Nothobranchius furzeri: one gene and its partners. The protein of the gene in region 7 purifies or fractionates together with the protein of the main gene of each other region. This does not show direct contact. Links are inferred from orthologs where the notes say so. Each region holds a gene or a part of one and is shown on either strand. Other genes may lie near its edges.

Region 1 (4,195 bases), on a different chromosome or scaffold from region 7:
TCGCCTCTGGCCTCCTTCTACTTTGGGTCTGTTGTGAGCCACAGATCAGACCAGCAATCAGTGAAACACATAAAGGAGGTCAAGACGTATTTGGTGCTTTTGTTTGTCTCTGGACTTACTCTTCTTTAACCTTTCTGCCGATAATATTGGGTGTGAACGTTTTCTAAAAGTGGAAGAAAACAAAAACGTGTTAGGTTTTAGACAGTGTACAATAAAATCAGCTTCTGTTGCATCTTTAGTCATCACTTGTCCCTAGAAGCCACGAGTTTTTAACAAATGATTGGTTTTTTGTCTTGTCATTTTCGTATAGATTAATCTCAGTGATATAAATAAATAAATAAAAGACATAAATACTAAATTGAATGAACATTTTCCCCTTGATGCAAGTTGTTTGTTTTTAATAAACAGTTCAAACCCATAGAGTAAACAACCCGGTGTGTGAGCAAATGTCAAAGATGGAAGCAGCTCCCTTTTGGTAAACAGCTTGAGTAAACACTAAGCCAGTGTTGGGATCATAACTGATCCACAGCGTATTAATCGTCCTACGAGTATCAGGTAAGCTTTCTTTGTTCACATTATATTAGAAATAAAGAATTTTAAAGAGCATCATTATTTCTGATTATTATGGGTCACTGAATTTTTCATGCAGGCTGATCATGAAAAAGTCTTCTACACGATAGAAAATAGACAGTAAAACTCTAGGGTGTGAAAAGCCTGACAGATCTACGTCACACTGTCGCTTCACATTCATGGAGCTAGCCCCTATGTCCCAAGCCGTTGAGAACCTGCAGCTCCTGCCTGTGGACATGGAGAGCACGCTAAAGAGGATCAACCCCAACAAGGCCTCAGGACCAGGCAGGATCTCTGGTCATCTGCAGTCAGCTGGCGGGAGTTCTCTGCTTCCTGTTTAACTGCTCGCTAGCTGAGCACTCCATCCCCTCCATCTGGAAGTCCTCTATCATCTGCCCCGTGGCAAAGCAGAACAACCCAGGCATCAACAGCGACTTTGGACCTGTAGCTCTGACATCACTGATTGTGAAGACCTTTGAGAGGCTCGTAATGGCCCAGCTGCTGGTTGATGTGGGTGCATGTTTGGACCCAATGCAGTTTGCATACCAACCACACAGAGGGGTGGATGATGCTCTACTAACTATGCTGCATGAGACCCTCACCCACCTGGAACAGCCAAAGTCACATATCAACCTGGTCTTTGTGGATTTCTCTAGTGCATTCAACACAGTCCAGCCACATCTTATGGGATGTAAACTGCTGAACCTGAATGTTAACTCCCATCTCATCCTCTGGGTCCTCTCCTTTCTCACGAGGAGGGAGCAGAGGGTCAGGGTTAACGGCCATCACAGTACTGTCAGGTCACTCTCCACTGGTTCCCCACAAGGTTCAGTCATCTCTCCACTTCTGCTCATTTTATACACCAATGACTGCAGGAGCACAACCCCAGGAATCACTGTTATCCAATCTGAGGATAAATGTCCAAGTATCAGGAACTAAGACTCCAAAACCTGCTGTCTGAAGCGCAGCTGTGATGTGGGTAACTTCAGTTCCTGGTAATGGTGCACCAGTGTATTGTTTCCCCCTGACTTTCGACTTCCTACTATAAACCACTACAAATAACTATACTTTAATAAAAGACCTGGTGCAGTACCTTTTTTACTCCCCCCAGTGTGAGGTCTCTTGACCTCATGGAAGGGAGGCGACCTGGAGAGATTCCCGATGGTGGTCGGCGGCCCATCAGCAGTCCAACGTTACTGCTGCCTCCAGGAGTCGCCATTCGCTGATTACTGGTGTCACTTGAGTCAGCCATTTTGAACTAAATAAAGTAGGAGATACAAATCAACCTTTTTCACTTGGAATTATTTCTACTGGTATCTGTAGTCATCGTGGACACAACAAAGACTCTTTTTGTAGAAAATATCTAAAAATCACAGATATTTTTGTCTGCATTGGCACCTATTTCTAACGACATTCTGATGGATTTTGTAGCATTTAAAAGCAACATATGAATGCAGGTATTACATCTGGATGCACATCTACATCCACACTGGACTGTTGATGCTTTGCATCTGAGATCTACACATCCTTATCGTAAAAATATCTAATTACTATGTGCAGCCCTAAAATATTGTGTACTTTATATTATAATATTAAACATTGGGTTCAGACTGAAAACCAGTTCTCTCTTTTCTGGATTACAATGGGGATTATGCTAATTAAATGCATCTGTTTACATTCCTCTGTTGGTTTTACTGTTGATCTTATTGACGCTGTTTTAATCACGTTGCTTATATAGATGTTTTTTTAGCCATGGCCTGTGGCTTTTGTCTTTCAGCACCCCATCATTGGAAGCTGATGTGATATGAAGACATGCTAACGAATAGTGAAGGATTGATTTAACTTTATTGTTTAGCTGGGAACAAAAATTGTTTGCATTTATAAAAGTGGCACACAAGTACTTTCAACTTGTCGTTTTAGGCCTGTTTAGCTAAATATTTGGACACTACTAATGAAGGAGTTAACTAGTGCAGTGAAGTCATTTCAGCTGGGTCTCCAAATGACTTAACTTTCTTCACTTGCAGTCAGACTACTGGTTACCACTGAAAACTTTCCTACGGTTAAACTGGTTTTCGTTTCTCTTAATCTACCGTCCCACTACGAAAAAAATACTTAATTCCAGCTAGAAATGAACAAACCGCCAGCACGTGGACATAATGATACAGCACTAGTTCGCTAACCTTCATCATTAGAGAAGAAAAAGTGATATTTAAGCTTTTTCCAGATCCTTACCTGATTTCTTCTTCCGGGGTCTTTATTCTATGTTTATTCACGGTCTGCGAGTCATAATAAATGAACCTTAGCTAGTTGTGTTTCTGTTTCTGAGCCAGCTAGTTGTGTTTCTGTTTCTGAGCCACTGTGCTGCACGACGCCATGACACCTCTGCGTTGTTGTTCCGTTCGGAACGCGCATGCGCAGAATGAGGCGCATGGCCGCAGGCTGCAACGCGGGCGGGGCAACGCGTCTGGGTCACAGTAAAGGAAAGAATGAAAGGAGAAAGGACAGGCAGAAGAGAGAGCGTCAGTATGTCGCACAGTTATTCTCAAAGGAAGGTGGGTTTAGTTAGTGATTGGTTAAATTCAACCTGTTAGCTAGCTTTGATATCCACAATGAGAGGAACTATGTTTCATCTAATTATGGTAAATGGGTTGCTGTCCTTGTCCTTATAGAATCAGCAGCTGGTGATATGTCAGCAGGTGACTCCTCACAACCCAATGAACCTCACGAAGGTGAATGTAGCATGTTAGTTAGCAGCCTCATTTAAGGGGGTCTGTGGGAATCACTTAAGGCTCTCTTCTCTATCAGTACTATTACGAAGGAATATAAAAAGGCTATTTTTGGTGATAAACACATTGTTTTTCCACATAATGATAATTATATATATCAATCAGTAAAAATGTATAGATTGTTGTTGATGCTGGGCAGGTTGAAGCATTGTTATTTAGTCTGTTAATGTAACATAAATTACTGTGAGATTATTAATGTGAAGCACCTTTTTGAAGGCACCATACAAGAAAAAAAAACTCTTCATCTACTAAATACCTTGAAATGAAATGTTTTGAATCTGACTGAATTATGGGAGGTTTTACAAGATATAATTTGTTTATGTAGCTTTGAGAACACAAACCAAAAATCAGTCATTTCCAAATAAATCATCAGAGAACAAAAATGAAACAAAAGCTATTAATAATTGTAATAAATAAACGTAATATAACATTGAACACAATAAAATGACATCTAGTATTGATCGTTATCGAGCATTATTAATTATATCACTGTAAATAATAAATCTTGCTGTGTACAATCAAGGCTGAATATATTTTTAGCAGTTTTTTTGTTGAGAAAAATGGGTGTCTAGAGACTTATATAGGTTGTACCGTTATGAATCTTATAATGGTCTGCCTTAACAGCTGCCCCTTCACACAGTAACATCACCAAGGTCGGACGCTTGGTTCAGTATGTTTACATTCCAGGAGAAGAGACAGAAGAAGAGAAGAAGAACGCTTTTCATTGATTAATCAAAGTACTTTATTTGTGATAAGCTAATCAAAGCACTTTGTGTCTGAAATGCTTTTCAGCTCTCCTGCATGAAGTCCTGGTGAAACAGGAAATAATCCTTCAGCAG
Region 2 (3,873 bases), on a different chromosome or scaffold from region 7:
CTTCGTCAGTAAACACAACAAGCAGGAGAAAATTACAACATGGCTCCAAAAGGTTTGTGTTTTATGTTCTGTCCATTTTAGAATCGCCAATACGGACCTGAAAAACAAAGGAGACCGCTAGCTAGGTGATAACTTCTCACGGGGCCGCACAGTTAGTAACTTTTTTTAAAAGTAAAGCAACCGGAAGGCAGTACGTTCTTTATTCTGAAAATCTCGGGAGCTTCTCTCCATTTCCGCGTCCGATTTCCTGTCTTTCCTTCCCCAAAAATGTCGAACTTGACCCGTTTCAGAGGCGTCGCGTGTAGAAAATAGAACCGGCGCGTAAAGGCCGCGACATGCTGCTCCTGAGAAGCGGCCGACTCGCGCTGCTGACGGCTCCGGTGGAAAAGGTTCTGTTGACCACAGCGGTTCCTATCAGCAGCTATGACGCGCTGCTGACGGCTCCTGTGGAAAGAAGGGGTGACATTTAATTTTCTAAATGAAACAACCGCAGCAACACATTTCTGTTTTAAACCAGAGATTTGTACATAAATCCATCACAGCAGCTTCTAGAAATGACTTTATTAACAATAAAACATTCATTTACACCGTCTCTTCCGAAAAACAAAACAAGCCGTTTAGACTCCTCACGGATGCATAAAAAGTATTTAACTAAAGGTTCTCGTCTCTCCTCCTCAAGTAGATGTTAAAATGGTGAAAAGAAATTAAAACAACATATTCATAAACGGATCCCAGCAGGCAAACGTACAACTCTGTAAAAGTTAGTGAGTCTCTAAAAGTCCAGAGATGATGATGTGTGATGCTGGTTAGGATGTTTAATCAGTTATGATGAGCTCATCACAGCCCCAGTCCTCGTAACTCCCATCAGGAAGGTACCTGCGGATGATGATGGGGATCTTTCTGCCCCTTTTGGAGAAAGAGAAGAAAAGATGAGTGAAGTAAAAAGTTGTTCGTTAAATAAAACCAAAGCCAAAAGTTGGTGCTTGTCAAAGTGACTTACTTAAGTTCTTTCATAGCGATCTGCAGAGGGTCAGTCTCTCCCTCCAGCTCCACCATGACAGGAGCACACATCCTGTTGGAATCAAGCCAGCACAGGAAAAACACTTTTATTCAGGCAGACTGATGCAACATGGGAATATGGGGTTTATAGTGGGCTAATTTCTCTAAAGCTGGGAAAAAAGTGACTCATTAGTTGCAGCCATCCAGCCAGCATTGGAAATTAAATACAAATAATTCTGCATGTAGATTCAAACGCTACTTTTAGCTTTAAAATGGGCTTTGGCATGCTTTTATTTTGAAAGCAGATGAGGCATTTACACAAGCAGCCGCCTGTTTCCAGGAATTTCTGCTGGTGGGAATTCAGAGAGCCCAAACTCAAGACAAAAACAGAATCAGGAGTTGATTTTACTGATTTACCTAAATAACCTTCTGTTGATACTAGGTGTTAATGCGCTATTTAGCATATTTAAGTTTTTACTTAACCCTCCCACTGTCTTCATGGGTGACCCCGCCAGGAAAGTTGACCACTGAGCAGGATGGATGGTTTATCCCTTGATGTCTACATGGCAGGGGTGAGGTGGTGCTCACTTCTCACCCCTGCCACATGGACCCAAGGGATAAACCATCATCCCTGCTCAATGGTCAACTTTCCTCGCGGGGTCACACCCATCAGGACAATGGGAGGGTTAAATGTCTTTTGGAAAAACGAAACTTTTACTGACATAAATCCCGAAATGAGCCCAGCTAATTTCACTGAACATCTCTAAATACTAAGTTTAGGGAGGAAACCTACTCTCAGTGAAAATGTGTTTAACGAGTTAAAGATCAAACACACTCAGCTTTAACCGTGATCTCATGTAAACACACTCACGCTATCTGCAAGGCTCTGGTCCCTAGCACTCTGGCCCGCTCGTATTTCGTCATATACGGTGTGGTGATCCTCTTCTGGTTGGCCTGCTGGCCTTCTCCTGCAGGTAGGATCTGCACATTCTCCTGATCCTCCTATTCACCAGAGCAAAACAAACAAGCTCAGACCAGGAGACAGCTTCATAAAAGTCTCAAGTGGTGATCCGTCTCTGTAATAACTCACATCTTCGACGTTCTCCAGGTCGTCTAGTCCTTCGTCCTCCTCTGCATAATCAAAATCTCCATCATCGAAGCTACGGAGTTAAAACCTTTGATCAGATATCTTAAACTTTAGGTGATTCATAACTTTTAACAAGCTTTATTGAAAAAGTACAAAAGTACGTAAACTTGGATGGGAGACTGAATAAAACAGGACGTAAGCAGCAATACACAGAATAGGCAAGGATCATAATAAACAATACCGTGTGATGCTAATCGAGTTAGCATCCCCGTTAGCTTACGTCGATTATACAAAATGACGCAGATTATTTAAACGATTTCTTTACTTACTTGTCTTCGTTGTCCGACATGATAAATTTTTAGAGTAGTATATATCCGTGTAAAATATTTTAACGTTTCTAGGCTACACTTTTGTAACCAACACGAATCCACATGAACGTTGCACTGGCTGGTACGCTACTAAACATTCCGGTCGGCCAAAAGAACCTCGTTAGAGTTCCCTTTCCGGTCTGTCTTTTTTTTTTTTTTTTTTTTTTTTTGATGTTTCAGAAGCATCAACAAGGTTTACCGTTGCAACACTGCCACCTTCTGGAGTTAAGTCATTTTCCATTTAGTTTGATCTGTAAATTCTACCAACTGTAGGTTAAATAAAGGCTGAATAATCCCCATTCTCTCTCTCTCCTCACTTTCTTTAATGAATTGTTATAATCAAGTGCTAAAGATTTAAGGAATTTGACACGTAAAAAAATATTATTTATATGTGCAATTAATCAAATTAATGCCAAATTATTTCACGAATAAATCATTACATACATAAATTGTTAAATGGGCCATGGATGAAAATTTTTAATTATTTTGTTTTAAATCCTAAAATGCACACCGACTCCTCCAAATCCAAGGCCTGTTTATTGACTAGAGAAGACTGGGGCTGAATCCAGCGATGAATTAATGAGAATTCTTCCGGTCGCTTCCCAGGAGAAGTGTTCCAGGCATGTCTTGCCTGTAGGAGGCCCCCAGCTCGATCCAGGACATGTTGGAGGAATCATCATGTCTACTGGCCAGGGATTTCCATGGGGTTCTACCGGTGGACCTGACTGAGATCCTGGAGAGAGGACCATTTCGACTTCACTGCCAGCTCCGCCATGTAATAATTACTAAAATTGTACAGTTTAATGATTATCTGTAATTTTTACATCAAATAAATGTTTTTATTTATAGCACATTCATTAAAATCATATATACATAATTATTTCATATTTCAACCAACTAATGACACATTCAATTAATGATATAAATTTTTTATGTACTTTTGGCCCTCTATTTGGTTGTATGTCATGGCTAACGAACGTGGTCTTAAGCTTATTATCTGCACAAACAACATAAATCATCTCACGTAGAGCTAACGTGTCTGTCAGAACGTCACCCAAACATTCATGACGCGCCTATTTTAAAAGGTGACACACCACAAGGCTGCCACCTGATGGTCACTGTGGTACACTGCAATTTCCCTCATTTAACAGGGCCGGTTTCCACCAAAGTGAAATAAATAAATAAATAAATAAATAAATAAATAAATACATACATACAAAGGACCAGCTTTTTAGAATCAGAATCAGAAGGTTTTATTGCCATATGTGTGCCAAGTCACAACATTAGGAAATTGCTGCGGTATTTGGTGCAGAAGGTAAGATAGAAAGAAAAATTTAAGAGATACGCAAATATAGGAAGTAATAAAACACTCATGATAAAATTATTAATGTAAAAAGTGGCAAGAATTAGAGAAGCAGC
Region 3 (4,221 bases), on a different chromosome or scaffold from region 7:
CTCAGGAACATTCCGACAAATTCCTTTCAAAAGTTTATATTTGGTTTTGAGAGACAAATAAACCATAACACCGGGAAAAGATCTTAAAAATAACAAAAAAAGTTCACTTTAAATCTAAATCAGCTTGTTCAAAAAGACAAATAACACTTTTTAGGTCTAAAAATATTATTTATTATAAGAAGAATGTGTGAATGATTTTATTCATCAGGAAATGAAATGTTGGCAAATAAACAACCAACAACTTTTACCCATTTAAGCCTAAAATATATGATATTATTTTATTACAATAAATCCCAGAAAGAACTAAAGTAGAACTACATCCAATAAAAAATATACACAAAAACTAAAGTTTGACATAAATAAAACAAATCCAAACTAAAAACCTCATTATTAATAAAATATGAATGAAAAAATGAAAATACATGAACTTCAGTTTAGTATTTTAATCAGGAAAGACTCATGACTGCTGTGATGTTCTTCAAACATCTGAGGAGACCTTCGTCCTGCTGTCCACAAAGCTCCTCCCAGGAAGAGGAGTTTCCTCCTCCCCCGGAGGTCCAGCCCCAGCAGCACCTGCTGCCCAGAACCAGGAAAAGTCTAGAAGACGTCTCTTCTTTGGCTCTCGGGAAGGTCGGTGAGTCCCTGCAGCTCCCGCAAACCCTGAAGGCAGAGGAAGAAGATAGCAGCCAATCAGACACCTCATCTGGAGGATCAGGGTTCTCCGTGGTTCCACGATGAACACATCTGATTTTAGAGGAGAACGTCCCTCTCCATCAGCACCAACTCACCTCGACGCTACCGGACCGGCTCTACTTCAGATCTTACCGAGTCTCTGACTCGCTTTGACTTATAGAAGATCAAACACTCAGCAGAAAAACTCAAATCAAATATTAAAGAGCTTCAGATCATAGACATAATAACTGACCTCAAGGACCATGCGGATGTTGGCTTTTATTTTGGCGGCGTCTTTAGTGAGTTGCTCTGTGAAGCTGCAAAACAAGCGTTAGCATGGTTAGCATCTTTGGTTCCGAACATTGAGCTAACACAGCACTCGTTCAAACTCCCTCAACTTTATTTAGAACTAGATCTCAGCTCGACAAAAATGAGACGTGTGACAAAAAGTTTGTGTTGTCACGGCAACACAGAGCTCACACTGTCAGCTGACTCGTCTTCTTGGTGATGAACTGCAGAGCTTCATCGTGGGTCATTTCCACGAAGAACCCGAAACCGACCGCCACGAAGATCCTGGACGAGTCGTCTCTGTCCAAAGGAGGGGAACAACGGGTCAGAACCGGGACCAAACACAACCAAACTGCTCAGAACCAGAACCAAACATCTAAAAGAGGTTAAATGTCTGTGGAGGGAGGAGCTGGACACTCTAGAGAGACAGACACTCACACTTGAGCCTGAACATAGAAGCTGCAGCCCAGATCGACGTCTGTCTTCAGCTGCTGGGACTCCGCCTCCTGCAAGAACACGGAGTGACATAACCGCAACGTCATCATCATGATATAAACATATATAAATATATACACACACACAAAATTCTATCACAAACAAACAGGCGTTTCTGATTGACAGCACGAGGCCTAAAGAGCTCAGGTTACTGGTCTGTTGTTGGATCGGGCCTGAACAGAACTCCTGATCCAGAACACACAGCTCCGCTGGATTTTCATCAGCAGTTAAAAGGTTTCCAGAGATTAAAACATGGCGGATGTTAGCTGAAAATATTTCAAACAACTGAAAAAAATCCTAGAGGAGGCCCTATGATCCTCCCAGAGTGATGCCTCCCTCCTTAAAATCTCTCTCTCTCTCTCTCTCTCACACACACACACACACATACACACACACACACACACGCACGCACGCACACACACACACACACACACACACACACACTACCTGCAGACTCTGGATCGTGTTCTTCAGCTGCAGGTACTGGGAGATCTTCTCATAAACCTGGTCTCTCTGCTCCAACACCTTCCTGTCAAACAGAACACCTTCATCAGTGTGTGTGTGTGTGTGTGTGTGTGTGTGTGTGTGTGAGGTGTCAAAATAGAGTATTTGAAATGAGTTTGCAATCATTTTCTGACTGTTCTATTGGATAAGAACCACACCAGGGATCCGTGGTTCTCCAGGACCCACTCTCTGGTTCTCCTTCACTGGATCTTTTTGGTTGGTTCTGATTCCACAGACCAGAACATCATCCGACTCTGTGGACTCACCACCGCAGTTTGACTTTTGTTCTGGTCGCTCAGATGAAGCGTCAACTTCTCTAGCCGGATAGACCCCGCCCTCTGGGGGGCTGCCATGGTAACCAGGTACCAGTCACTGGTCATAGTGATTGTCACAAATGTGTTTAATACAACTTTATGATTTACGTTTAAAGAACTTAACCTGTACTATAATGATCGTGTCTGTAGAGACATAAACATCGCATCAAAACTTAACCGGAAACTGCTTAGATTCATCAGAACCCAGCACCAACTTTTATTTACCTGCTTCAAGCTAGAGCTACCAACCCTGCCCTAACTAAACCAGGATCTGTGAAACTACTCAGAATTCAAAACCAAACAGAGGAGCAGAGCTGAGAAACTAAATCAACTATACGAGTTAAATCGTACCGTAAATCTCTCTTCAGAACCTCGTTGATGAACGTTTCGTACTGCAGAACCTTCCGGTCCACGTTTTCAGCGACAGGTTCCTCCATGCAGCTTTTCAGATTAATAACAACAATAATAACTTCATGCGGATTAATTCAGTTCAGATGAATTTCTGCTCAATGTAAATTAACCGTTTCGGACACAAAAACGTGCCGTTAGCACAGCTAGCATGCCAAGCTAGCATGTAAATAATTCTTTACACCGGAACTAAATCATTGAGTGCCCCCAAATTTTCAAAATAAAGCATGTAGACATAAAACAGATAGATGCATTAGACGAAGACGCTCCAGACTGATTATATATATATATATATATATATATATATATATATATATATATATATATCAAGACTCAAGACAACTTTATTAGTCCCCGAGGGGCAATTCGAGACAGCATTGTGAAGCAGCCGGCACTAAAATCTCTAAATTCTAAAAACACATCCAAATTACACATTTGTAAAACCCATAAAACCTATATACACATTCATGTCATAACCCCATACATATATATTTATATATATATATATATATATATATATATAATTTATTTATTTAATTTTCACTTCTGACTGACATGTGAGTCTTTTCTAGCTGATTTGGATCTGTGTCGTGACTTCCGTTGTCACGTGACCGTAGCTAACGCAGCTCTTGTCTGAAACAAAACGTTTTCAAACGTTTCAGGCCCGAAAACCGGATCTCCTCGCCGCGCTTTCAGGCTTGAACGACTATCAGGAAACATTTCTGCTCGAATTGAAATTATTTCGACGGTTTCATTAAGCCATAGGAGCTAACTTAGCTTAGTGGTGACGTTACCATGGCAACACGAGTTAGCATCCTCTGTAAAATTCGGATCCAATTGAAATCGAGCTGATTTATGTATAATCTCAGAACCCGAATAAAACTTACGACCTTTATTTCAGTTATCGTTCCGTAATATTTCAGAAACGTTGGTGTTTTATTGAACTGAAACGCGCAAAATCGTAAACGGCGTCTTTTGTACACGGAGCTTTGTTTCCGGTCTGAATTCTGGCTCCTGTCGGTCAGCTGGAGGAGGTAAAAGAAGCTCTGGGAGGTGTTTTCTTTCTCAAAAAGAGGTCACCTATATCTTATTTAGTTTAATGTTACAGCTTGAAGTTTTAATGTGGAATCAGATGAAAAATTGGTCTTCCTGCAGAAATCAGCAGACCGGATCAGGTTCTTGTCCCAGACATGGAGCAGTACAGCATCCAGGGTCGGATCGGAGAAGGAGCTCACGGCATTGTGTTCAAGGCCAAACACATTGAGGTACCGATAGCAAAAGATCCAGCCTCTGGGTCTGGTTCCAGGTGCAGAGCAGTTCCTCCTCAGAATGTTCGTCTTGTGCCTTTTCTCTCAGACAGGAGAGACGGTGGCTCTGAAGAAAGTGGCTCTGAGGAGGCTGGAAGACGGCATCCCGAACCAGGCTCTGAGGGAGATCAAGGCCCTGCAGGAGATTGAGGACAACCAGTATGTGAGTGTCCCTCCAGCTGCTTCTGCCCAGTTCAGAGGACAGCGAGGTGTCAGACCTGATGCTACTGAAA
Region 4 (3,696 bases), on a different chromosome or scaffold from region 7:
CCAGCTAATGTGCTCATCTAAAAATAGCCCCCTTTCACATCCAACTGAATGTGTACGGTTCCGCTTACACCAACATCGTACACAAAAAATGCTGAACGCTAACTAGAAATTCATGAAAATTTTATAGAAATAAAAGAATCTTGTTTATTGGGTCTTTGAAAATTTAAGACCTCTGGAAAATGTATTTAAGTATTATTTGTAATTTTTAAGGCCTTAAATTTGGAAAAGCTAATTTAAGACCTGCGGATACCCTGGACGAGTATGGCAGAAAGCCCCGTTGACTTACATCGGTAGCGGCGAGTGCGTCATGTTGTTTGATATCCAATAGCATGCAGAGACAGTCTGGAAGAAAACCGTAGACCCAGGCCCACTACTGAGAGCCGTCAACGGGCCGTGTCCAGACTATATATTCACCTATAGAGGATGGCTTCCCAGGCTAGGGTTTCTCATAACCAGATGTTTAACCTATTCACTGCCAATGACGAGTAAATTCGTCATTTGCATGTTTTTACTGTGTGGGCATCGGACGAGCCCCCACACCGTGAGAACAAACACCTCAGCTCTAAAGCGGATCTTCATCCGTATACGTCACACGTCACGTGATCAGGAAGCAGAACATCCATGTGTTAGATCGTTTTGGGCCGCTGCTGTAAAAAAAAAAGTGAGGCGCGAACCGGAAAAGCTTCTGCCGATCACAATTCAACAACAGATAATGAAAGAACGGATAACGCTCGAAACGCGCGGATTCTTCCTGATGTAAGAGGTGAGTCTCCGCTTTGTTTTGGTTGTTTTGGCGTCAACGTCATCCTAGCGCGCAACGTTCTGTGGCTTAAAAAAAACTGTAAAAACGGTGAGAAACGCTGGCAGCGAATGAGTTAAAGCTCCCATTTACTTAAAAGACAAATAAAATATCAAAATCTAATTCAGTCAAAATACTGAAAACATGAACTGAGCACCAGAAAGAGTTTACAAATACCCTGAAATGGTGACTGCTCCCACAGTTTAATCATCTTTACGAGAGCTGATTTTTAATTTGTCTGTATGATTCTTACAATCAGAGTGTACGGTGCCTCCTTCTTCCCCTCGCTGGCCTCTGCTGGCGGCGCCGTTGCCTGCCCCGCTTGTGCCGGCGCGTCAGACGCAGCTACAGCAGGGCCTGTTGGTGACGTGTCCACGAAGACTTGATCCGCCACCCGGAAGCGGATCTCCTCCCCTTGGTCCATGTAGAGGTCGTGCCCTCCCTCATCCGTCTCGTACTCCCAGACCCAGACCTGCTCCGCTTCATCACTGGAGTTACGGCTAAGGAAGGCTCAACCAACCCCAGATCCATAAGACTCCAGTCACACACTCAGCAAATGCAGTAAAAACAAAACCACTGTGCTTCTAACTCTGGATACAACTTTGCAGGCTGCTGGAGAGACTCAGGAGGGATGAGAATATCATCAAAGAAGCCCATGGTCACTGTGAAGCAGCAGAGTGAGAAGCTCCTGTTGAAATCTGGTACACAGCTGTTAAAGCGTTTACTGTTAAAGGATATTTTGTCATTCTTGCATCAGACATGAAAGAAACAGCGTACCTGGAAAGCAGAGGATAACAGTAAAATAACATATAATTGCAGCAATGACTAAAATTCCATATATATAAGGGATGTGTATTGGTGAAATTTTGGCAATACGACAAGTATCACGATATAGGGGAGACAATACAACATATCACGATACATTGCCATACAATACGATATCAGCAATTTTTTTAGACAGAATTTTTTGTAGGAATATTGAATAAACAGTCCAAACTAGGGCTGGGCGATGCGACCTAAAATCAGTGTCACAATATATTGAGAATTTCACCTCGATAACGATAAATTGGCGATAACTACAGGTATGCGCAGAAACAAAAGTTGTCCACTAGATGGGGCTGTCACACGTATTACTTGAGTCACATTTTTACGTGACTCAAGGTGGTACAGCTTCTTAAAGGGATGTGAACGTTACCAACCTACACATCTTTTCATTTCTTTATTATCGAATTTATTGACACGGGAAAAATGATCACGATAAGAGTCAGAAATTTTGATAATGATAAATTTTCGATTTATTGCCCAGCCCTAGTCCAAACTGATACTTAACATTTTTAATGCGAGGTATCTGAACCATAACAGAGGGATTTATATTTCAGTGGTGGAAACAAAACACATTGCACACTGCTGCCAACTAGCGGTCTGCGTTTAAATTGCACCAAAAGAAAAGAAAATACACAAATATTTGCATGTAAATTCTTCCAAAAATTTGATACATGGATTTTGAATATTAATATAAAATCACAGGATAAAATATCACAAAATATTACCATATCGATATTTTCGATATACATCTTTTGAATATCAATACAATATCACGATATATTGCCATATCGATATTTTCTTACATCCTTTAATGTGTGTATATATATATATATATATATATATGTATATATATATATATATATATATATATATATATATATATATATATATACACTATATATATATATATTTTTTTAATTTGTATGATAAATGATAAAATCATCTAGGTGTAGAAATTCCATCATGGCTATTTTTCAAGTGCTTCCATAATTTTCTTTTTTATATTCCTGCAAATGTGTTCATATTAAACACACACATCTATGTTAAAGTATCACAATATTAAAGGTGGAATATTTTGCAAAACTCACATTTTGCATCTTTTTTTTTTTTTTTTTGCTGCCATGTGGGTCTCTACTAGGGATGTCCCGATCCGATCACATGATCGGAAATCGGCCCCGATCACGTGGTTTCAGACTGATCAGGACTCGGGCTTTACTTCCCGATCCAAGCCCCGATCCGGAGTTGGATACTGGCTTCAAATTACAGGAGAGCAACTTGGTTCTCCTTAATGGTTGTCAGGCTCACCTGATGCCCTTAACTCACACACCCAGAAGGAGCACAAAAGAGATCCAGTTTGTACCTATATTATATTATTTACATGGACTCAGAGTAGCGGGGATTCTTTTGGGGCAGAGATGCAGAGCGGCAGGCAGACCGCTGATTATTTATGGACTCCAGGTGTGTTCTGCACACGGCCACAGTAACATTTTCTAAGTTTCTAAAGGGCCTCACCAAAAAATATATAATTAACACACAGTCGTTTGTGTCCGTTCATTTTCTCTCTGGTAAGTTCTGTCTGTATTTGAGCATGATGTGTGGACGCGCTCGCGCCGCAGCGCTCGTCACTGGCGCAGCCGTGCAGCGCGGCGCTCACTCCGCTTTTTTTGTGGTCAATAGATCAATTTGATCTGCTAGTTAAAAAGTTACTTGTGAGGTGAAAAAGAAGGAAGCAGGGAGGAGTTTGTCTGGAGGACTGGATCCACCCCTCACATGCAAGAAATAGTTGCTGCTGAAGGAGCAGCGGCTCTCACCCTGGATTCTCATGTCAGTTCTCTTGTTCGCTCTTTCTTCGTCCATCTCAGGAACATTGCTAAGCTGAGTCCCATTCTGTCCCGCTCTGAACTTGAGACAGTTCTCCACACCTTCATCTCCTCACGCTTAGACTACTGTAACTCTCTTTTCACGTGTCTGAGCAGAACCTCCCTGAACCGTCTACAGGTGGTTCAGAATGCCTGTGCTCGGCTTCTGACCAAGTCCTCCAAACACACCCACATCACCCCGCTTCTCCTCCA
Region 5 (4,336 bases), on a different chromosome or scaffold from region 7:
TCATAAAAATATTGTTTTTTAGGGCTGGAGCCCGTTTACTGTTGATTATTGATTTTTTTTATCCAGTTTTGATGACTGACAGTTCTCTCTAAACACACAGAAACAACATAAAACATTTTAGTCATCCAGGAGAATGAATAAGCGTTTTGTAGGCACGTTCAACTCTTTTTTTTTTTTTATTCACTCGTATTTTTAGTCCTGAAGAGGAAGCCTGACCTGATCCAGTTTACTGGCCACGGCACTGATGATCACCTGGTCTCTGAAGTGCTGATGAAACCGCGTAAAGTTCACCTGCCAGTAGATCCCCTCGTCACCATGAGTCTGCACAAAAACACCAACCGTGTGTGATGATGATAAAAGCAGAAACAGAGAAATGTTGGAATGAATAAATAGGTGAAAAAAGAGAGTTGTTCCCGACTTCTGGCTCCATTTTGGCTCTTTTTGCGCTCCTTTGCTCTTCTCCCTCCTCGGTGGCGAGCTGGCGCTTTCCCCGCCCGACGAGGGTCACATGAGGCACCTTATAGCACTCGGAGAAGCTCTCTGGGTTGGGCAGGGTGGAGCTGGAGGCGGCTGCAGTGGGATTGGGGCCGGCTTGAGTGCTGCTGGCTGTCATTCCTGCTCCGTCCAACGGAGGGCAGCGCTGCAGGAAATGCGTCTCCACCAGTTTAGAAAAGACAGACGACACTTCGCTGTAATCAACGCTCTGCCCATCTGTAAGAACAACATAGACACTTGATGTCACGTAATATAAATCCTACTGAAACCTGAAAAACATTCAAAATCAAATCCAGATTTTTGTCTTTTTAAAATCAGACGCTGACCCTCCATGTTCTGACTGAGGCGGTCAGCGACTGTCTTGACCGTGCCGCTCATCGTCATGTGACCCCTCTGAAGCAGCTCCTCAACGATCAGCTCTCCGGTGTCACCGTACAAGGTTTTAGAGGTGTAGATGTAACGTGGGTATCGCAGAATCCTCAGAATGCAATCGCAGCTTGCCTGATACTCTGGGGGGCTGCCGGGTCCCTTTCGACCAGAGATGAACGAACACGCTCCGTGATGCATAAGCACGCATAAAGACTTCTTTACCTTTAAAAACAAAGGCAAAAGCAGCATCTGTACTGTGTGATTAAAAATCATTTATAGTGTAAAACTGTCCAATAAATCAACTCTACTTATCTAAAATACATCACCACCAACAATTAGCTGCTAAGCAAATATATTCTCAGTATTAACCAGCAGAAAGAAGCTTGTCATTTGTACCAGGTCCGCTGAGACTCCAGTTTCATGAACAATGGCTCGTAAATGTTGGCCACCACTTCTGAGCAGGTGTGTTCCCACTTTCTCCACCACCTCCCCGAAATGCTCTCGCATCAGAAGACCACACAGTCGTACCTCCTGGGCTGTCATCTGCAAAAACATACAATATAAATAAGATCCACAAGTAAACGGGTCAGGGATGAGGTCCTGCCCCAAGTGGAGGAATTTAAGTATCTCGGGGTCTTGTTCACGAGTGAGGGAAAGCTGGAGCGTGAGATCGATAGGCAGATTGGTGCTGCGTCTGCAGTGATGCGGGCGTTGTACCGGTCTGTCGTGGTGAAGAGAGAGCTGAGTCGGAAGGCGAAGTTCTCGATTTACCGGTCGATCTACGTTCCTACCCTCACCTATGGTCATGAGCTTTGGGTAGTGACCGAAAGAACGAGATCACGGATACAAGCGGCCGAAATGAGTTTTCTCCAAAGAGTGGCTGGGCTCTCCCTTAGAGATAGGGTGAGAAGCTCGGTCATCCGGGAGGGGCTCGGAGTAGACCCGCTGTTCCTCCACATCGAGAGGAGCCAGTTGAGGTGGCTTGGGCATCTGGTCAGGATGCCTCCTGGACGCCTCCCTGGTGAGGTTTCCCGGGCACGTCCAACTGGGAGGAGGCCTAAAGGTAGACCCAGGACACGGTGGAGGGACTATGTCTCTCACCTGGCCAGGGAACGCCTTGGGATTCCCCCGGAGGAGCTGGCCCAAGTGGCTGGGGAGAGGGAAGTTTGGACCTCTCGACTTAGGCTACAGCCCCAGCCACCCGACTCCAGATAAGCGGATGAAAATGGATGGATGGAAGTAAACTGGTTTTATTTATGTTACAGGTTTTGTAGAAGAATTCCTGTATTTTATTGTAGATGAAGCAAAACAGTAAATTAGATGACATCACCTATATCACGATAATAAAACCCACGGAAGCAGCACCAGATTAGCAGAACATTTTATAAAAGATGCTTTTCATGAAACAGATTGAAAACAAAATAATCAGTGTAATATGAACCAACAGTTGATCAAAATAAACAAACTAATTAAATGACAAAATGACTGTACCAAGTTGTGAGGAAAGTACTGAATATTGTGTATGTGGTTGGCTTAAATAGGTAAATTAGTATGATTTATTATCAACATCTTAACAGAAATTAACCTATTGCAAGAATAAAGTCATTTTATTGTATTTTATAAATTATATTTACTTTTTTGACAGGACACTAAAACACTAGTACACTTAAAGCATCACAAATCAATCACTAGCATCTTTAAACTGTGATGTTTCGGTTAAAAAAACACTAAAGCACCATAAAACAAAAGACAACATGTAAACTTCATCTAATATTAAATGTTAATTATGTTTTAAGCGTCTCTGATTAATGTCCACACCAGTGAAGCTAAAGTTGTATTAAGTGGATTAGCTTACAAGCTACTAGCGGCTAGCTCACCTGAAAGTAAAGAATTAGGAAAAATAAATACACGTAACTTATTTTTTTCACGAACCTTTTATTGCAGATGGGTTTCGGAGCAAACGTAGCTGTTGCCTTCATGCATCGACTTTTTACACATGCGTCTCTTCCATCACAACACACAGACACTTCCGGTAAAAAAGACACTTCCGCTCTCTGGGTCTTCCCTCCAGGATTTGGCTGCAGTGCAGCGCCCCCTGTCGAGCTGGAGATCGTTTGGTTCAGGCAAGTTGTTGTAGCATATAATTAACCACATCCCATTTTTTTCATTTGGAATTTAAATAAAAAAAAATTTGTTCATGAATTGCATTTTTAGTTATCAGAATAAACAACTGAAATTTCAAGCGCTCGACGTGTTAATAAGTTAGACAAAAAGTAAGAGGTACACAATCACACTGGGTGAAGTCAGTATTCATCAGTAAACATCTGCAGTTCCTTCCATGTATTTCAAAAGGTATATTTCACCTATTCAAAATCAACATTTCAAGAATCTCAAATACCTTTCCCAAATGTTAGGACAAACAAATTCCCATAGAAATTTAGTTTCCGGTTTAAAAAATCTAAACGTACTTTGCTGTCGAACAACTTTTGTTAGAATAATAATTTGTTTCTCAAAACTGGAATTCCCACTAGAGAACAATGTGCAGATTTCAAGGTCTTGAATACCGTGGTAACTCTGAAATATTTTAAATTTTCATATGATTTACTGCTATCATAAAGACGTTTTTATTATTAAACGTTTTAAAACAACTTATAATCATTTTGGAGGATATGAAAATGCATATGATAAATATCAGAATTATCACTTATTATATGATGAACCGGCTTGCCATAAAGTGTCTTTTGGTTGTAAAGGACCAACGTCACTAGTTGTGCTGCTTGGGGAAGATGGCGGAGGCCGCGCCTGTTCCCCCGCATCGGTTTTTCTGTCACTGTTGTAAGGGAGAAGTAAATCCTAAACTCCCGGTAAGTCCGGTGTTTTTGGTTAGTCATGTGTGATATATTCCACATCGTGCGCGACTGACAACACCGCTGCTCGACCAATAGCAGTTAGTTTCGCCTGTCTGCTACAGCTAAACCGCCGCTAGCTTGTTAACAGCTAGCAACGGTTGTTGCTGTTAACTCTCTGAATTAAACGGTGCCTAATTTGTTTTTACTTGAGGTAAACGCTGGGTTATAAACTTGACACTGTCAAGTTTTGTTCTATTCGTGTGTCTACGCGTAATTGTGTCAAAACTCAGGGCCCGAAGCTTCAGGTTTCCCACTGTGAATGTGTTGTGAGCGTATTTTCCACCGAACAAGACCTGAACACGGATTGTCTGGACCATTAAAGCCAAGACGACATATTTAAAACTCAGCTGAGAGACAGTGGACTAGTTTTGTTTTCAGTGTTTGTTTCTGGTCAAATATACTGTTGGAATGACGAGTTCGGGGATTTTTCATGGACTTAATGTTTAGTTTCATTTGTGAAGTCAAAGCAGCACTAGGTGCACTTTGTGACCTACACACTAGCCCTAATGAATACTTGGTAGAAGATACTAGTTTTAACAAGATTTAATGTAATTTTATAGAAG
Region 6 (3,696 bases), on a different chromosome or scaffold from region 7:
ATATAGCCATGCCGTGATGTGTGTGTGTGTGTGTGTGTGTGTGTGGGGGGGGGGGGGGCGTCGACATGGTCGGCACATAGAAGGGGGTGCGCGGCTAAATAAGTTTGGGAACCACTGTCCTACAGGATTCTTCATGCCTAAAACTTGCAGCCCGGATTAGTTGCTAAATCAAAGAATGATTTCCTAAATTAAATATGAACTTCTAAAACTTATAAGCTAGATAATCATTAAATAAACGTTTGTTTATTGCTACTTATAACAATTATAATGTAATGAAATGTTTTCATTAATCTGTGCTCAATGATTGAAGTTTGAAATGAACGTTATGTTATGATTACAGTGATTGAAATATGTTTCAGCATGTTTTATATGACAAGGTCATCACCACTTGCACTCACACCAGAACAAAGTAAGGTTAAGTTAAACTCATGAGTCATAAATAGCCCTTTACTCCAGATCAGAGCGTCCGGTATCAAAGAAGACATGTTTCTGAGACTCTTGGTAATATTCCTCAAACTTGTCAACCTCTGGTTGGCTACACAAATCATAACAGGAGAACATTAAAACCAGATTACTCTGGTTATTCCTCAGTTCTAGAGAAAGCTTCAGACCGGCCATCTGAAGCAAGACCCTCTTTAACCCATCAAAGCTTTTGACACGTCGTCAAAACCTTTTTGCACCTGCAAAGCTGATGAAGCAAACAGTTCCTGCAGAATGAGCTGATATTGTTTAGACTCCTTAAAGAGTCCCAGACGCGTGGTTCCATCCATCTGTTGTGACCCGAGACATCTCTGGACTGAAGAGTCGGTGCCACGGTATTCTACAGCCCTTCGGTGCCAGAGGTCATCCGACCTCTCTGACCTTCGGATCCACCAAGAGGGTCTCCAGAATGGGTGAAGTAGACACAGATAGCAACTGATGTGCTTTTGATAATAATCAGCTTCATAGCTTAACGCAAACCAAATTATTTTACATCCAGAAGTCAGCTCTCCTAGACAGAGAAGGTCTGATAACGTCGCATTCACACCCAGGTTTCATCCATCACAGTAAAATGTTAGTTAACTTGTCATGTTTTAATTGTTTGTAAAATAAATTCTTACTTTTATAAACCTGACTCTTTTCTGAATCAAAACGAAGTGTGTACAATCCCTTAATAGATAAAGAATCCTAGAATCTTCTGATGAATACACAAAGACCAAGCAGGATTGATATTCTATATTTAGATAGAGTATTACAGCTTATTGGTCATAAGTAGAGATAAAATAAATATTGAGCTCTTAAAGCACTCAATTTACCAAACCCTACAATGGCGTCGTATAGCTGAGGGTTTCAAAGAGAAATGCATGGTGCCTACAGTGAAACACAGTGGTGGCTGTGTCCTTATGTAGGCTGCATGAGTGCTGCTGGTGTTGGGGAGCTGCATTTCATTGATGCTATCATGAACTCAACAATTTACCACTCAATACCAAATGAGAAGATGCTGCCATCACTCCACGCACGTGGTCATCGTGCACTTTTCCAACACGGCAATGATCCAAAACACACATCTAAAGCTACTGTTGCGTTCCTGAAGAACAGCAGGGTGAAGGTGATTGAATGGCCAAGTATGTCTCCTGATCTGAACCCAATCCAACACCGGTGGGGAATTCTGAAGCAGCAAGTTGGGCATCACTCTCCATCCAGCATCCAGGCTCTAAAAGAGGTTCTTCTTGAAGAATTGAAAGGATAGATGTTGCAATAAGTAGTCAACTTGTTAATTCCATACCTAGAAGGCTTGGTGCTGTCCTTGAAAATCACAGTGGTCATACAAAATACTAGATGTAGTAGGTTTTGTTGTGGGGTGTATTCATTTTTGCTTCAACCAATGTTAGTAAAACTGAAGATTTTGTGATCTCAGTTATATTGTTAACCTTAATTTCATGTTATGGAGTTAAACAAGCCTTGTGAAATTTCTGGAAATTGTTCTTTTGTTCATTGAGCTGCTGACTAAATTTATACATTTTCAAGGTGTATTCATTTATGCTGAGCTCTGTACACGTGTTTCCTCTTTTGCTTTTGCAGAACTTCAGAATTGACATAGTGCATCTGGACGAAAGCAGTATGGAGTTTGACATGGTAGGGATTGATGCGTCCATTGCCAACGCCTTCAGAAGAATCTTACTAGCAGAGGTAACACCCACACATTTCCTGCAGTTTAGCTCAAAAAGCGTTACTTCCAGTCCGGTCCCTCTGTGTTTCTCGGGCTGTGTTAGCTCTTCCCCCCTCCCCCGGTGTTACGTCAGCATTCCAGTCGGTTCCGCTGTTGAAACGCGTTTCCCCACCACTGCACCACGTTTACCAAGCGGTAAAAACACTCGCGCTCATTACAATCTCGCTCCCGCGGGGCGCTCTGGTTTTGGTAGAATAGGAGCCACAGATCTAAGTTAGGGAAATTCCCGGTGGCCCTTTTTGAGTTTGGTGCATTATTATTTTTATATTTTTTTTCATTTATTTTATTATTTTTTTTTCGGGCCGTTGTTACTCTGTAGATCACCTGCTGCTGATGAGAGGATTTCTCCTGTCAGGAACAGGTGAGCTGCTGCTAACCGTAACCCAACAAGCTTCTGTTCCTAGAAACACGTTCTATGCCCAGACTCTAATGACCTGTTTTTTTACAACTTTATAATTAATATTAAGTGAATGCATTAAATCCACAGGTGGAAAATACGATTAAATAAGCCTGAATATTTTCTCCCACAGCTCAGCTCTATTAGAAATAAGCAGATGTCTGCTTCAGCTGGACAATATCAAGTATAAAAACGTTCACAGATAACTGATCTATAATGACGAAACAATGTTAATCATTTTAAATTTTAATATTGATTTCATTTCATTTCTAAGGTTTGGATGTTTGTGGACATCACTGAATTTTCTGATTGGTGTAAAGAATACACAATATTTTTAATAACAGGTCTGGATGTGGTTCAGTCTGAGGTCTAAAACTGCCCTGGGCCTAAAGCCCTGCAGATAGATTTAGTTTCTATAAACATAAACGACAAATAAACAACAGCAGCTGGATTCTACTTTGTTCCTTACATTGAGTCACATAGTTTTGCAACTTCTGTATGCTCACGTGTTCAACAGCAGCTCTGCCAGCTGATTGGTTCTTTAGTAACTAGTGACATCAGTGCAGTTCTGGTACTGAGCAGCATGGATGCATAAGAGGATTTAGCTGTAGTCGGTGTTCAAAATGGATTAAAGACAGGATAGGATATAAACGCAATCAAATATAATATTATAATGCTGTAAACATGTGTAGATACTTTATCATACATCCTCACCAGCCTGTAACTCTACCTTTTTTCTCAAAATGCACCAGACTGATGCTTTTAAAAATAAAATGCTCAAAATTTTCTACCAGGGGTGGTGGTGGTGAGGGGGGGGGGGGGGGTGGCATGCCCCCGGACCCCCCTAGAGTAGTTTAATACTCATCATCTTTTTCGTGTCCACACTCTGGTGCTGGTGCACACCTTGTGGTGGAATAAGAACTGGATATATATATATATGGTGTCCCACAAGGTTCTGTGCTGGGGCCTCTGCTCTTCCTCCTCTATCTGCTTCCTCTTCAGCACATCCTGAGCTTCTTCAAAGGAATCTCCTACCATCTTTATGCAGGTGACATCCAACTGTACATCTCCTTTAAGCCCCATGAGATGT
Region 7 (3,696 bases):
AGCCGGGATCGAACCTGCAACCTTCCAATTACTGGACAGCCCGCTCAACCTGTTGAGCTGGTGCTGTCACCTAAACATCCGTTGTGGCTGTTACTCACCAGGGGAGCAGATACCGTCAGCATCCAGGATGTTGTGTCTCCATACGGGCTTACGCGTGGCAGCGTCCAGCATGGGTCCCATCACTTTATCAAAGGTCTGGTTGGTGTAGCGACGCAGGGTGCACTTAGCGTTTTTGTAGACAAGGCACCGACCAAACCCTGAAAAGAGGCAAGTTGAGCCTTCTGCTGTGGTTGGGGTTAAATAACGCAGAAAGGCTCTCACCTCTGTCCAGCGAGGCCTTGTTGAGGACCAGAGCGTCCTCAATGTCGTAGCCGCTGTAGCTCATGACGGCCACGGTGGCGTTCTGACCTGCAGGCAGTTTCTCAAAGTCAATCAGCTCGATGGTTTTTGTTTTAACCATGGGCCTCTGAGGATAAACCAGCAGGTACATCAGAGTGTCGATGCGGTTCCTCTGGTTGTAGCCGATAGTTCCTAAAAACAAACAAACAAAAAAACAAAAAGTGGATGAGGAATAAATCATTAAAACAGCCTGAAACATTATCAATAAGTAATTTCCAGTTTGGCCATTTAATCTAATTTCAAAGGGGCTCTGGGGAAGACCCAGGAGAGTTATGACATAAAGCCTGGCCTCCCTGGAAGCCCTGACATTTGTCAGATGCTATTACCTCACAATCAGGCTACAAGCTCAGTGGCTGATAATAGGCTCAGGCCACACAACCAGATTTGCACATGTAAAGAGCTGCCCACACAAAACAGACAGGACAGAGGATATTAGTCCAAATATAGTTCCAGTCAGTGTTTTTGTAAAGGTGGGGGGAGGGCAGGAGCGGATGGATGGAGGTGAAGCAGCAGCCAATCTGTGTGTGTGTGTGTGTGTGTGTGTGTGTGTGTGTGTGTGTGTGTGTGTGTGTGTGTGTGTGTGTGTGTGCGTGCGCGTGTAGCTCTTACGAATGCTAGCCGGGCTGTTTGGGGAAGTTTTGGTTACCAGGGAGCTTGGGGTGCACACTCTGTGGGCTTTCTGCAGCTGAGCACACTGACCCCCCGAGCACAGCCAGAGCAGACACAATGAATTGCTAATGACACTCTGGGTGACTGGCAGGGAAAGGGCCTCCGCACACACGGCACAAAGGAAAACCTACGCAAGCGCCCCATGTTTGATGTCCATGCACACACACACACACACACACACACACACACACACACACACACACACACACACACACACACACACACACACACACACACACACACACACACACACACACACACACACACACACACACTCAATCACACATCCAAATGTATTCTGACAAGAAGTGGTGCAGCCGCAGAGCTTGTTCATGAAGAACCAGCAGGGCTGCTTGTATCCACCCTGTTTGTTATTCTAATGTCCTTTTTAACTCATGCAAATAAAAAGTTTAAACTCTGCAGATTTAGGAGGCTTGAAAACGGTGTTCATGTAAGATTAGAATACTGCAAGTGTGTGTGTGTGTGTTTGGGCGTACAAAGGGAGCGGCTCAGCTGTGTGTACGATGTGAAACTACCTGCTCAGATCAGGCTTACCCATGGCCTGCTTGCCCATAGCGCACTGGTACGTGTTCCTGGGGGACTGGTTGTGGTGGGGGTAGGGAATGAGGCCCGCACACACTCCGAGCAGCGTGAAGGGCTCGATCTCCAAGTGGGTCGTGTCTCTACAAAAAGGGCGTTTAAAAAGCAGCATGCCAGGATTGAGACAAACAAGGAGGGACGCGCTTCAAAATGTCCGCTTTCACGTTTCTACTCACTTGTTGATCATATGTTCATACAGAGCAATTTGGCAGTCGTTCTCCTCGTTCACATCCAGGTACTCCACCAGGCCTTCATGAAGGAAGTCCTCAAAGGTTCTGGAGACAAGTTAAAGAAAAAAATCATTACAATGATCAAAGAAATGATCAAAACAGGCTGTTTAAGGATAAAAATGGACTAAAATCTAATTTATGCATCTAGAGAGATTAGAAGGGGTTATGTCTGGTCTTATAATAGATCTGTTTTTTAATTAGGCCCGGTGTTGCCTAACTAAATTAAATGCTGACGTTTACCAAGAAGCTACCTCAACTCTCACCTGTAGCCTTGAGACAGATCTTCAATGTGTTTATTATTCACCATCGTCTGGCCCTTCTTCACGATGATGTACGGCCTGCAGGAGAAACGAAAAGTCATTTGAAGCCTTTAACGCAAAATAAAACAAGATTTATAGATATTTGTTTCTTCCAGCCTTGCCCACCTGCAGAGTCTACCTCCGTCAGATGAGATGTAGACGCAGCGGTCGGTCAGGTTGGTGGAGATGGACACAAACTCGTTGATGAAACCCGCCCGGCGCATGAGTCTGAAAGTGTTGACCAGCTTGTAATGGTCTCTGATCACACCCAGAATGTTTCCTGTGGACACAAACATGAGAGAGCGGTCAAAGTATAAAAGAAAAGCCGTGGTCTTCAGAAAGCCTGGAGACCTCACGGTCAGGACGACAGGGACATTTGGCTTCTCGATTCGAGCGAGATGACTTCAGGAGGAGCAGGAGCATCGAGCTGCACGTAAAACGACGGCAAACTGCACAGAGATTGAAACACTTCGCGACTAAATTTCAAAAAGAAAATTTGGCTTAACTGTTGCTTACACACCTCTCATGACCTGGCGGCCATATTTGAAACTTCTTGCAAAACCCAATTCCAGCACAAATCCTGCATGAATTCTTGCAAACTAGTCAGCAACAGTCTCCGCCCAGTGAGACACTGGATTCAGGAGTTTCCATCAGTAATACAGATGTTTTACAACAAACAGTAATGTGTGCAGTAGAGCTCGATTCAACTGTTTGATCACAGATGTGCTTGAACTCAAGGCTGCTGCTCTCTTCCGGTAGTTCAAACAGAGCACAGGCGGCTCAGAGCTTTAACAGTGTCTTTAACGTTTCGGCAAACGACATTTCTGAGTAAGCATTTCTGTCTCCTTTCACGTATAGTAATAATGTGCGTAAAGATTCAGAAAATTTAAAGCCTTTCACTCAAAAAAAGCACAAAATTCTGACTCCAAACTTGAAGCGTGAGCCGTGGTTTTGCACCCTGAGCCCTGCTGCGAGAGTGGAGTTTAAACCTCCTGCAGGAGGCTTGTTCATATCGGGTGGAGAACAGAGGTCTACCTCAGTGTGCACGTTGCCTCTGAACGCACCCTGAAGGGCTCCGGCACCTGCTGCTAATGACTAATTAAAGAGCATGGCAACTAATATAATGTGACAGTTATCAGTGCAAAGACAAACAAATACTGTAATTAAATGTCCGAGTTTTGACTAGAGAATAACACCTACTGCTGCTATGAAATTAAAAACTTATCAGCTCCTCTGCTAAATTAAACAGAGTATTTTCTTCTTCATGTTTATGAAGCAAAACGTGTTTAAAACGAGAAGAATTAGCATTTCTTTTAAAAAATGATCTGAAGCAACAGCAGGAGGTCTTAATTCTGCTTAATAATTCAGCTCCATTGGAGGGCGGGAGTTGTACCGTTGAGGAAAACCAGGAAGACGCTTGGATAGGAGAGCTCCTCCCCACACAGCAGGTTGACGTCTTCCACCCCAAGGTTGAAGGCCAGTTTTATAATGGGGCCGTC

Evidence for each region.
Region 1: the proteins of polr3b (region 7) and polr3d purify together in Homo sapiens (affinity purification with mass spectrometry; 8 studies listed by BioGRID and IntAct, counting the BioPlex papers as one, with this or other methods). This does not show direct contact. The link is inferred for Nothobranchius furzeri from reciprocal best matches to the Homo sapiens genes POLR3B and POLR3D.
Region 2: the proteins of polr3b (region 7) and polr2f purify together in Homo sapiens (affinity purification with mass spectrometry; 5 studies listed by BioGRID and IntAct, with this or other methods). This does not show direct contact. The link is inferred for Nothobranchius furzeri from reciprocal best matches to the Homo sapiens genes POLR3B and POLR2F.
Region 3: the proteins of polr3b (region 7) and uxt purify together in Homo sapiens (affinity purification with mass spectrometry; 3 studies listed by BioGRID and IntAct, counting the BioPlex papers as one, with this or other methods). This does not show direct contact. The link is inferred for Nothobranchius furzeri from reciprocal best matches to the Homo sapiens genes POLR3B and UXT.
Region 4: the proteins of polr3b (region 7) and polr3h purify together in Homo sapiens (affinity purification with mass spectrometry; 8 studies listed by BioGRID and IntAct, with this or other methods). This does not show direct contact. The link is inferred for Nothobranchius furzeri from reciprocal best matches to the Homo sapiens genes POLR3B and POLR3H.
Region 5: the proteins of polr3b (region 7) and polr3c fractionate together in Homo sapiens (co-fractionation; 4 studies listed by BioGRID and IntAct, with this or other methods). This does not show direct contact. The link is inferred for Nothobranchius furzeri from reciprocal best matches to the Homo sapiens genes POLR3B and POLR3C.
Region 6: the proteins of polr3b (region 7) and polr1c purify together in Homo sapiens (affinity purification with mass spectrometry; 7 studies listed by BioGRID and IntAct, counting the BioPlex papers as one, with this or other methods). This does not show direct contact. The link is inferred for Nothobranchius furzeri from reciprocal best matches to the Homo sapiens genes POLR3B and POLR1C.

Annotation. Positions count from the first base shown.
Region 1 is NC_091757.1:39,754,639-39,758,833, reverse strand, and holds the start of polr3d (DNA-directed RNA polymerase III subunit RPC4), read right to left. Parts: upstream 2,959-4,195; 5' UTR 2,803-2,958; intron 1,829-2,802; 5' UTR 1,823-1,828; coding exon 1,664-1,822; intron 164-1,663; coding exon 120-163; intron 29-119; coding exon 1-28. UniProt on the Homo sapiens protein: DNA-dependent RNA polymerase catalyzes the transcription of DNA into RNA using the four ribonucleoside triphosphates as substrates.
Region 2 is NC_091752.1:66,414,050-66,417,922, forward strand, and holds polr2f (DNA-directed RNA polymerases I, II, and III subunit RPABC2), read right to left. Parts: upstream 2,572-3,873; 5' UTR 2,436-2,571; coding exon 2,416-2,435; intron 2,160-2,415; coding exon 2,090-2,159; intron 2,002-2,089; coding exon 1,871-2,001; intron 1,073-1,870; coding exon 1,001-1,072; intron 907-1,000; coding exon 816-906; 3' UTR 547-815; downstream 1-546. UniProt on the Homo sapiens protein: DNA-dependent RNA polymerase catalyzes the transcription of DNA into RNA using the four ribonucleoside triphosphates as substrates.
Region 3 is NC_091755.1:47,134,798-47,139,018, reverse strand, and holds uxt (protein UXT), read right to left. Parts: upstream 2,889-4,221; 5' UTR 2,711-2,888; coding exon 2,625-2,710; intron 2,322-2,624; exon of another isoform or gene 2,299-2,321; intron 1,985-2,298; coding exon 1,903-1,984; intron 1,467-1,902; coding exon 1,399-1,466; intron 1,261-1,398; coding exon 1,153-1,260; intron 990-1,152; coding exon 926-989; intron 661-925; coding exon 598-660; 3' UTR 429-597; downstream 1-428. Other genes in the region: cdk20 (cyclin-dependent kinase 20), read left to right, coding at 3,872-3,946, 4,038-4,151. UniProt on the Homo sapiens protein: Involved in gene transcription regulation. Acts in concert with the corepressor URI1 to regulate androgen receptor AR-mediated transcription. Together with URI1, associates with chromatin to the NKX3-1 promoter region.
Region 4 is NC_091752.1:65,981,184-65,984,879, reverse strand, and holds part of polr3h (DNA-directed RNA polymerase III subunit RPC8), read right to left. Parts: intron 1,462-3,696; coding exon 1,398-1,461; intron 1,288-1,397; coding exon 1,053-1,287; intron 1-1,052.
Region 5 is NC_091745.1:77,810,932-77,815,267, forward strand, and holds the start of polr3c (DNA-directed RNA polymerase III subunit RPC3), read right to left. Parts: upstream 2,925-4,336; 5' UTR 2,797-2,924; intron 1,408-2,796; coding exon 1,261-1,407; intron 1,087-1,260; coding exon 822-1,086; intron 712-821; coding exon 419-711; intron 322-418; coding exon 217-321; intron 1-216. Other genes in the region: rnf115a (E3 ubiquitin-protein ligase RNF115), read left to right, coding at 3,651-3,728. UniProt on the Homo sapiens protein: DNA-dependent RNA polymerase catalyzes the transcription of DNA into RNA using the four ribonucleoside triphosphates as substrates.
Region 6 is NC_091752.1:59,331,638-59,335,333, forward strand, and holds part of polr1c (DNA-directed RNA polymerases I and III subunit RPAC1), read left to right. Parts: intron 1-2,061; coding exon 2,062-2,169; intron 2,170-3,696. UniProt on the Homo sapiens protein: DNA-dependent RNA polymerase catalyzes the transcription of DNA into RNA using the four ribonucleoside triphosphates as substrates.
Region 7 is NC_091744.1:73,552,029-73,555,724, forward strand, and holds part of polr3b (DNA-directed RNA polymerase III subunit RPC2), read right to left. Parts: coding exon 3,591-3,696; intron 2,478-3,590; coding exon 2,324-2,477; intron 2,237-2,323; coding exon 2,162-2,236; intron 1,944-2,161; coding exon 1,845-1,943; intron 1,752-1,844; coding exon 1,624-1,751; intron 532-1,623; coding exon 322-531; intron 258-321; coding exon 99-257; intron 1-98. UniProt on the Homo sapiens protein: Catalytic core component of RNA polymerase III (Pol III), a DNA-dependent RNA polymerase which synthesizes small non-coding RNAs using the four ribonucleoside triphosphates as substrates.